Linked DNA regions of Neurospora crassa OR74A. Each later gene encodes a partner of the first gene's protein in a complex. Links are inferred from orthologs where the notes say so. Each region holds a gene or a part of one and is shown on either strand. Other genes may lie near its edges.

The links.
Region 2: the proteins of NCU04611 (region 1) and NCU09203 are in contact, whole or in part, in a crystal structure (PDB 3OAK), measured with the Saccharomyces cerevisiae proteins. The link is inferred for Neurospora crassa OR74A from reciprocal best matches to the Saccharomyces cerevisiae genes SPT6 and SPN1. Residues at the interface, in NP_011631.1 of Saccharomyces cerevisiae: Lys241, Glu244, Met245, Asp247, Ile248, Phe249, Gly250, Gly252, Asp254, Tyr255, Trp257, Ala258, Leu259, Ile261, Glu262, Asn263; in NP_015458.1 of Saccharomyces cerevisiae: Arg222, Glu226, Pro227, Leu228, Pro229, Asp230, Gly231, Thr253, Leu256, Lys257, Gly262, Arg263, Val264, Ile266, Phe267, Lys270, Ser271, Lys272, Arg273, Ile286, Trp289, Thr290, Arg291, Pro292.

The regions. Positions count from the first base shown.
Region 1 is NC_026505.1:1,505,105-1,509,373, reverse strand, and holds the start of NCU04611 (transcription elongation factor spt-6), read right to left. Parts: upstream 3,107-4,269; 5' UTR 2,716-3,106; coding exon 2,548-2,715; intron 2,475-2,547; coding exon 2,292-2,474; intron 2,237-2,291; coding exon 1-2,236. UniProt on the Saccharomyces cerevisiae protein: Histone H3-H4 chaperone that plays a role in maintenance of chromatin structure during RNA polymerase II transcription elongation thereby repressing transcription initiation from cryptic promoters.
Region 2 is NC_026501.1:5,819,628-5,824,006, reverse strand, and holds NCU09203 (transcription factor iws-1), read left to right. Parts: upstream 1-1,565; 5' UTR 1,566-1,738; coding exon 1,739-2,272; intron 2,273-2,338; coding exon 2,339-2,817; intron 2,818-2,881; coding exon 2,882-3,161; 3' UTR 3,162-3,813; downstream 3,814-4,379. Other genes in the region: NCU09204 (hypothetical protein), read right to left, coding at 1-739, 889-997. UniProt on the Saccharomyces cerevisiae protein: Transcription factor involved in RNA polymerase II transcription regulation. May function in both SPT15/TBP post-recruitment and recruitment steps of transcription.

The DNA.
Region 1 (4,269 bases):
CATCCTTACCAAGGGCCGCATACTCCTTCATGGGGTTCTGCATATATCTAGCCAGAGCAATGCAGTACCGGGTCATCGGGTTGAGGCTTGGGTGATCTGCAACCGCACGAGGGCTGTCCTTGTACAGCCGGGCGACCTCATCGTTGATGACAATCACCTCGAGCAGGTCAGAGCGATATTCGTTGGTCTCCGGGTCATCGTATTCGGGGCCGACCAGTCCCTTTTCACTGACGAGACCCTCAACGTCCTTGATGAGACGGTGTGTATCGGCTGAGAAACCGGAGATGCCAATAACATCAGGTTGCCGACGCCTGACTAGCTCAGCCAAGGCCTCGCGTTGACTCTCATCGCGAGCTAGGTTGGTAAAGGTACCGTGTTCGAGAATCCTTCCATCCTCATCCATCGAGACCCAGGATACAGGTTCACGGTTGGGATCGCCCATGCCATTCGATAGCGTGAGCACGCGGGGAGTCGTGCCAATAACCATACCTTTGGGCTTATAAGGGGCTTGATCCAGTCTCTTGAAGTAAAGCTCACGGCAGGTTTTAAGCAGCTCATCCTGGCACGCCGTCCGCAAGGAGTCTTTCACACCCTTGACAATAACCTTTACCAGCTTGTCAAAGGCCAAATCGATCACCTTTTGACGTTCCGCGTTCCACTTGTCGGCAAGCTCGCTAAAGTTCTCCGAGGCGAAATCACTAAAAAGTTGTTGCCTAAATTCGCGGTCGTTCTCCAGCGAAACTTTAATTTCGATGAGCCCTTCTTCCTCTGCCTTCATCATCTTGAGGAAGAGCTCCGGGCGAACGGCAAGATCGGCGATAGACATGTTTTTGAGATACTTGACCTCGTAGTAAGGATTTGCTTCGTCAATCTTGCGTAGACCCTTGTCAGTACGACGGCAGCTCACAATGCCCATGCCGTAGAAATTTTTCCTGAAGTGTTTGCGCATCCGAGGACTGGCAAACATTTCTTCAGCAAGCATCTGGCGAGCAGCATTGATGACCAACTCGCCGGTCGGGAAATCGGCGTCTACCAATGTGTCGGCCAGGTCATCTGGTAGCCTTGAATCGTCCTCTGAGGTCACCTTGCTGCTTTCGCGCAGAATGTTCTTGGCAAGACGATCAGGCGTTATTCCGAGTGCCTGGACAAACTTGTAGGCATTGGATCGCCGGATGCGTTCAAACTGGGCTGTCCTGCCACCGGCCCTCTTAATCTCACGCTGTGCGCTATTATCGTTGGCAGCAAGGTCCTTCAGCTCCGCCGAATACTGGAAGTTTAGGTAATCTTGGAGATCCTGGAGCTCCTCAATGGACTGCGCTTGGCGTATCATCTCTTCAAGGATATCGTCCCGGGTCTTTTCCTTGAGCTTGTCGTAAGTTTGTTCTAGCGCGTTACGCTTCTCCAGGAAAGACCGGAACCTGATGTCGAGATCCAGGACCTTCCACAGGTCATCTTGGGTAAGGAGCTTCTCGGCGTCAACAGTATATTCGGGAGCGTCAGGATCGTCACGGCGATTCGGGTTGCGCATCTTCTTGGCGTGGATGAGGTAGTCTCTTCGGTGCTGGAAAACGTAGGGAACTTCGACGCCGTCGATAACGAAGAATTCGAGGACCTTGCCCACGGCCTTGTTGAACGGACCGTGAAGCTCACTGGAAAGATTTTTGCTGGGTAGCATCAGGTTGCTGATCCACCGAGCCTCCTCCTTGAACTGATCGGACGTCATCTGGAGATTCTTGAAAGCCTTGCGATCGAGCTGGAAGCGCTCAGGCTCGTCGTTGAACCGAATCCTGTTATCCTCGTCGGTAAGAAGCTTCTCCTTGAGCTGCGAAGGTTCGAAGACATCCTGCAACTCGATATCTTCCTTTGTTCGCTCCGCGTGCTCCTGCTCTTCCTCCAGCTGCAACGCCCATTCGTAATCTTCACCATTACCGAAAATGGCATCCATGTCCTCGAGAGCATCCTTGTCGAGGCCGGTTGTGTCGATGTTGAGGCCCCTATCCTTGGGACGAGCAACCTCCTCATCTTCTTCGCGGTGTCGACGTTCTTCGTCATCCTCGGGGTAATCATCTTCGATGAAGTCGTCGAACTCGTCCGCTTGAGCCCGGCCGCTGGGACGGCCGTAGCCTCGATCATCGTGCTCTTCGTCCTCATCGGAAAAGATCTCGGCAAGACCGCGACGTTCAGTGGGGCGGTGGTCATCCCTATGACCCCGTTTCAGGCGCTTGAACTTGGTTTGCTTGGAAAAAGGTGAGCCGACTGGATGATATCACCGGAAACCGTAGAGCACATACCTGGGGTTGTGGCTTCCGCTCCCACTCAGGAATCGCTTCACCAATCAGGTCGAGATCTTCTTCGTCGAGCTGCTCCTCCTCTTCGCGCTCACGACGGCGCTTCTTTCTCCTACGGCGTTCGCGCGCATCCGAATCCTCGGCCTCGTCCTCTTCATCTTCGTCTACGATGAAACCTTCGCGAATCTGTGAGCGGTGGGTGTGTCAGCGTTGTTCCCAACCGGAGCTATGTTGCAGCATCGGGCCAGAGGCGGCATACCTTTCTAGCCTCTTCCTCATCTTCGTCGTCCTCCTCCTCTTCGCTGGAATCATCAATGTTGGGTCTTCTTCTCGGGCGGTCGCCGGCCTCCTCATCAAAGGACTCATCATCCTCCTCGTCATCGAGCTCGGCCTCGCCGTCAATCAAGTCGCGCATGCTGTTGCTCATGGTTACGGCTGGTTGGGGTGGCGCAAACTGGTGTGTAAATAGGTGTCTTTTCGGACAAGTCTCGACCGCCTAAGAGGGTCGGAATTGGAAATGAAGCGCGTTTCGATGGGAGCAACAGTCGCTCTTAGGGTGCTGATGAAAAAAAGAAAAGAAGAATACAGGAGGAAGTTGGGTGAAGAGCGAGCTCGTTTGGTGAAAAAGAAGTGATTAGCAATTGAAGGAGGTCTGAGTTGACCGCGACTGCCCTGAACCTTTCTGGCCGAAAGGCTGCCCGCTTGCTGCTGCTGCCGCCGTGTACGTGCTGCTCGCTCCTAGGTGGTTCGCCTGCCGCCAGGTCACGTCGGTCGGTGCACGCACGTCAATTGTGTAGTGTCGACCAGACCCGAATTTTTGGAGCAAGACGGCGGGCCAAGCAAGGCCCGGCCACCCGCCCCTGTACATACCCTCCAACTGAACTTGTTACGCCACGCGCCACATAACGCGTTCAGCCTCGCCAAGGCCCAGGCCATAGAACTGTTATGTACAGAGAAAGAACACATGGCTTGGCCCGTGCATTTCGTCAACATTGAACGGCGAGCAGCCCCATCACCAACTTCCAGTTGTCCCGAATTCTTTATGTTTTGTGATGGCATCTTTTACTGTGCTTGTCATTTTGCTCACGAGGATGTCACAACGCCCTTTGGGTTCGTGCGAAAACAGTTCACAGATTTCGTTAGGCCAGTCTCGGACCGTCACGACCATACATCTTGACAGCCAAACAATCTGGAGTTCATCTGTCAGGAGAACAACAAAAAACAAAAACAATATTGTAAAGTGCACATCGGAGCATATGGTGCCGTGTACAGACACCAACCGACACCAACCGACACTATCCATGCCCTCGAGGGGAGCTAGCAACGGAAGCTCTAACTATGATGTTGAGCACATTGGGCATGTTTATGCAAAGTTCAGTCGCCGACATGCTTGAACTCTGGGATCCGCATGGCTAAACTATATCTGAGAGACGTTCATGCCGCGCATCATGGAACTCACCACTTGAGTTGAACCGAGCATCTTTGGTTTCAGATGTTCTTCGGGGGGTCATGATCCCCAGCCATCCGCGCTTAGACCCACCATTTGGCACGCATATCTCGAACAAGTCCCTGGCATCATCCGGATCACAGCCGACTGTTGGTTCTGGTCATGCCCAATCACAGCGGTATTTTGCTTGATTCGACATCTCATGGCGCGCTTCTTGAGAGCTCTGGGGTTGTACGAACATGACGTGCACTGTGCTTGCTGTGCTGCGGTTAGACTTGAAGATGGTCCTGTCATTGGCATGTTGATACTTTTCTTTTGTTTTGCTGGTAACAGGGACACATGCGTGCCAGAGAGTTTCTTCATCTCTTGCCTGTAAGCGAGCTACACTACAAGAGCTTCACAGGGTCCACTGGAGATAGGCTGTGCGCAAGATGGCACCGTCTATTTATAAGTACGTATGGCTAAGTACCTGGGAATAGCTTCGTCCGGACCTCTCTCAGAGTCCGCACTGTATTTCCCCCCCACTACGGTGTG
Region 2 (4,379 bases), on another chromosome or scaffold:
TGCGATATTTCGTGCATCAGATTTGACCGAGCCCTGTCAGCGGCACGCGAAAGATCGTTGCGTACAGCCATCACACAACTGAAGACTGCGAACAGAATAACGCCGATCAAGAACGTGTTGATGACGAACTGTAGCCATCTCGAGAGCACCGCCGGAGCAGCAGGATATTTGCTGACGGTGTCGAGGAAGCTGGTAAGCCAACCAGAACTGGCATTTTTGTCTGTCGATGACCGCCTCCTTCCAGGCCGTATGCCCTCCTCCCAGTCACTATCAGATTCGTCGGATGCATGGTCGAGGCGAGATCGTACGCTTCCCACGTCTCGGTCGCCGCGCTGGCGTTTCCGCTTCCTTACTTGTCGAGGACGCCCATTTTGAAGATATTGCCTGCTGAACATGGCCTTGCCTGCTTGCAGTGGTGTATAAGCCGTAGCTGGAATTCTGAAACTATCATCGAACATGGTCTCTGGCGTGTCGGGTGGCATTTCAGAGATGTCCGTCATGGCGGGACTCGCCTCTGAGGGCGACTCTAGCGTCTGCTCATCGGTTCGCTTCTGAGGTGTCGTAAAGGCGGGGTTTCGAAACTGGGGCGCCGTTGGCTTATTGTGTAGTTGGGGATTGAAGGATGTATTAGGAGGTTTCAGGGTATCGCGGTGCTCGTTGACAATGCTGCTTTGGGGAGCAGCTGAGGTGGCTCCGAACGTGGGGTTGCTAGTCTTTGATGGCTGTGAACTGAACGAAGCTGTTGGCGCGATGACGTCCTGTCAGCAAGAAGCTACTAGAGCATAGCATTGGAGACGAAGCCGAAATTATGCCACCGCAGAGTCAATTTCAAGAAGAGGCGTTGGCATTTGTATGTTGCGCCGCATGCTGTAGAGGAGTGCGACCTACATAGTGGTGGTTGCTTTGACAGTAAAGAAGCAAAGGGGCTTGTGTGATCCACGGGCGGGTTGTTATCAAATTCCCATTCCATTGGCGATTCGTTTCCTCGGCGATCCATGATGACGGGGCGGTCGACGTGCGCGTCGATGTTGGTGCGTTAGGAAGTTCACATTTGTCTTGGGAGTTGATGGGTGGATGGACAGTCTTATGGTTGAGAATAGAGGAGGGCGGGACGACGTCAAATGATCCTCCCTTCTTTTTTTTCTCTTTGGAGACAAAGCTTCCAAAGGTCAGGGATATGACCGCGGAAGTTACCCAGGACAAAAAGTTCGGTCGTCGGTGGCAACGGCGCGCCAAAGTAAACACATGGAATTCGGTCACGGCCCAAATAATTTGGCCCTGGTCGTGACTGTCTGTCTTCTACCTAGCGTATTTACCTAGGTAAGGTGGTAAGCGAGCTCCCTGGCTTCTGCTGCGTGCCTGGAGTGTCTTCAAGTAGTAGGGACACCCCACAGCGTGTAGAGCCACCCCACAGCGTGTAGAGCCACCCCATGCAAACTAGTATCACTGACGCAGCAACACCCGGCGCGGTAGATTTGCTCGTGGCTAAACAGCGCACAGACCAAGCGGCCAGCCCGTCACCTCGTTTGGGGATGGATTGGAGAATTGAACTGACTTGAACTATTGTCTTTTACGCAAAACAACCAAACCGCCACTCAAAACACCGAAGAAATTTCAACCATTGCGTCGTCTTCTTTTCCGCCGATAGATTCTTGCGTCTGAAGAAAGACCAGTCTTGAGCTATCCCAACGAACCATCTCGCGTGCATCAGCATATCAACACCCATTCAGCAACAGCCATGTCGGACGCCGCTTCTCCGGCGGGTTCCCCTGCTGCCGAACCCACTGAGCATCGCGATGAGGACCAGGTCAACGAGACACACCAGGACGACGGAAGCAATCACGGAGGAAATGACGAGGATAACGATGGAGGCAACGATAAGGATTCCGATGTTCTGTCCGAAATCGACGAAAATGAGTTCGGCGATGATTACGGCTCCCGGCCCGTTGACATTGACGAAAATGTGGCCATGAAGCTGAAGGCGCGGAGAAAGACGACTACAGAGACGACGAAGAAGCCAAAAGAAGGACGGAGGCCCAAGAAGCGGTCGCGTGGTGACGATGACGTTGACGCTGCGGATGACGACGGTGAGCGCCGACCACGCAAGGTCCGCGCCGAGGGCGAGCGGCGTGCTAGGAAGGAGGTAGAGGAGCAGCAAGCACAGCAGGAAGAGAACCTCACCCCAGACGAGCGCAGACGGCGCGCTTTGGAACGCGCTATTGACGCTGCTGTCAAGAACCCCACCAAGCGCAGGCGAAAGAAGGACGATATCGTAAGGAGTCTCCCAATGACACGTGCAGGCTTTGTCATACACGCATGTTGACCGACATTTGAACAGGACCTCGAAGAGGAGACGGATGAACAGATTGCAAACCTCAAGGTTGCCATGGAGAAGGCCTGCGTAGCCGACAACGAAGCCCGCGAACAAAAACAGCCGGCCGTGCACAAGCTCAAGCTCCTACCTCAAGTTACCGCGATTCTAAACCGGACCGCAATCCAGGACTCTGTACTCGATCCCGAAATCAACTTCCTCCAGTCTGTCAGATATTTTCTGGAACCTCTGAACGATGGAAGTCTACCTGCGTACAACATTCAGCGCGCCATCATGAGCGCGCTCATGAAGCTTCCCATCAACAAAGATGTGCTATTAAGCAGCGGCATTGGCAAGGTCGTCGTTTACTACAACAAGAGCAAGAGCCCCAGCGCGGACATCAAACGTGATGCGGAGCGGTTGCTGGGCGAATGGAGTCGCTTGATCCTGAAGAGGACTGACGACTACAAGAAACGTCACATTGAGATGCGTGAAATTGATGTCGGGTATGTGTCTTTTATCCATCTTCCTCTCAACAACCAACCATGCTAACCTTGCTTCCTTCACTAGTGCTGTGAAGCTAGGCCAACGCGAAGGCGGCAGCTCCCAAGTGACACTGACCCAGCGTCCCGCCGGCAAGTCCCGCTACGAAATCGAGCGCGAGCGCGCCCTCGCTCCCGAAGTACGCAACAACAACCGCGCCAGGCCCGTCGGTCTTCCCGCAAGCTACACCATTGCTCCCAAGAGCACGTATATCCCAGGCCAGGCGCCGACCGATCATCGCCCCATTGGTCACAGCGGTCACGAGGCTTTCCGGAGGATGACCCAGAAGGGCAAAGGCAAGCGTTAAGAAAGTCGATTCATATCCTCGTTCCGGGGTTATCGCTCGAATCTCGTAACAATACGATACATTCAGATCAAACGGTTGATCAGTACATATAGATATGGCTGAGCTCAATCGACGTGGGGGAACGAAGGGATGAAAAATGGATATAACAAACAGCGAGCAGAGTTGAAAACACCAAGGAGATGGGGGCACGACTGCCTCCTAGCTGGATTCCTTCCCGGGCAAGCAAATAAAGAAAAACATGATCAGTGCTATTGCTGCTGCTGCAGGAGTTGCTAAGGGACGATGATATGGTTGGGTGAAGGATTTTTCTACATTTCCACAAACGAACGACAGGGTCGGCTCGGTTCTCGCTCACACATCCATAGAATGAAATAGGGGCATCTCGCTGGGCAAGCTGCGGGGCGCAAATTAATCGTTGCACATTGATACACTTGAACACGTTTTTCTCCTTGCGGAAAAGTTGGACTGATCATATCCAGATGGCCGTTCCCACCTGGTTCTTATAATGGATTCAGTTTTTTATCGAGCAGGTCATAATGGGGTCAATGGATGGAATTACTAGCACCGACATACCTGCTACCGACGAAATGCCAAGAATAGACTAGTAGATAACTTACAGACTCACGTCTTTCGTATCTCAAGTCATGGTCCATCTCTATTGATCATTCCTAAAGGTATCCAGATGAAGAGAGAGAACCAAAGTGAAAGCTAGATACCGTGACCATCACTAACTTTTCTGCCCCTGTGGCATGTCAACTCGACCCAACCTTAAAAAAAAGGAAGAAAAAAAAAGGGAGAAAATAAATGTGACAAACGCAAAGGCAAAACCACAGACGAATAAGAACCGATCCAAGAATTATGAACAATTTGGCTTCATCATGTATCGCGGTATCCTATCACGAGCCTATCGATCCATCGCAGACGTGGGGAACATGTGAGAATGAAATGTCTAAAATATACTTGCTACTGTGAAACAAGGAAAAACATTGAAGGTATCTGATCTTTCGCTATAGACATGTAAAGCACACTCCCCCTTATAAACACGAGAAAGAACATGAAAAACAGCTCTCTGCTGAAGTTATGATAGGCAAAGCTAGATCGACTCGCTGTGAAGGCCAACTTCCGAGCTAGGAAGAAGGCTAAGGAAAGGTAAAATGTGGATATTTTCTTGTTCCACAGGGATAAGAAGGTATATCAAGGATCGAGATGATGTACTTC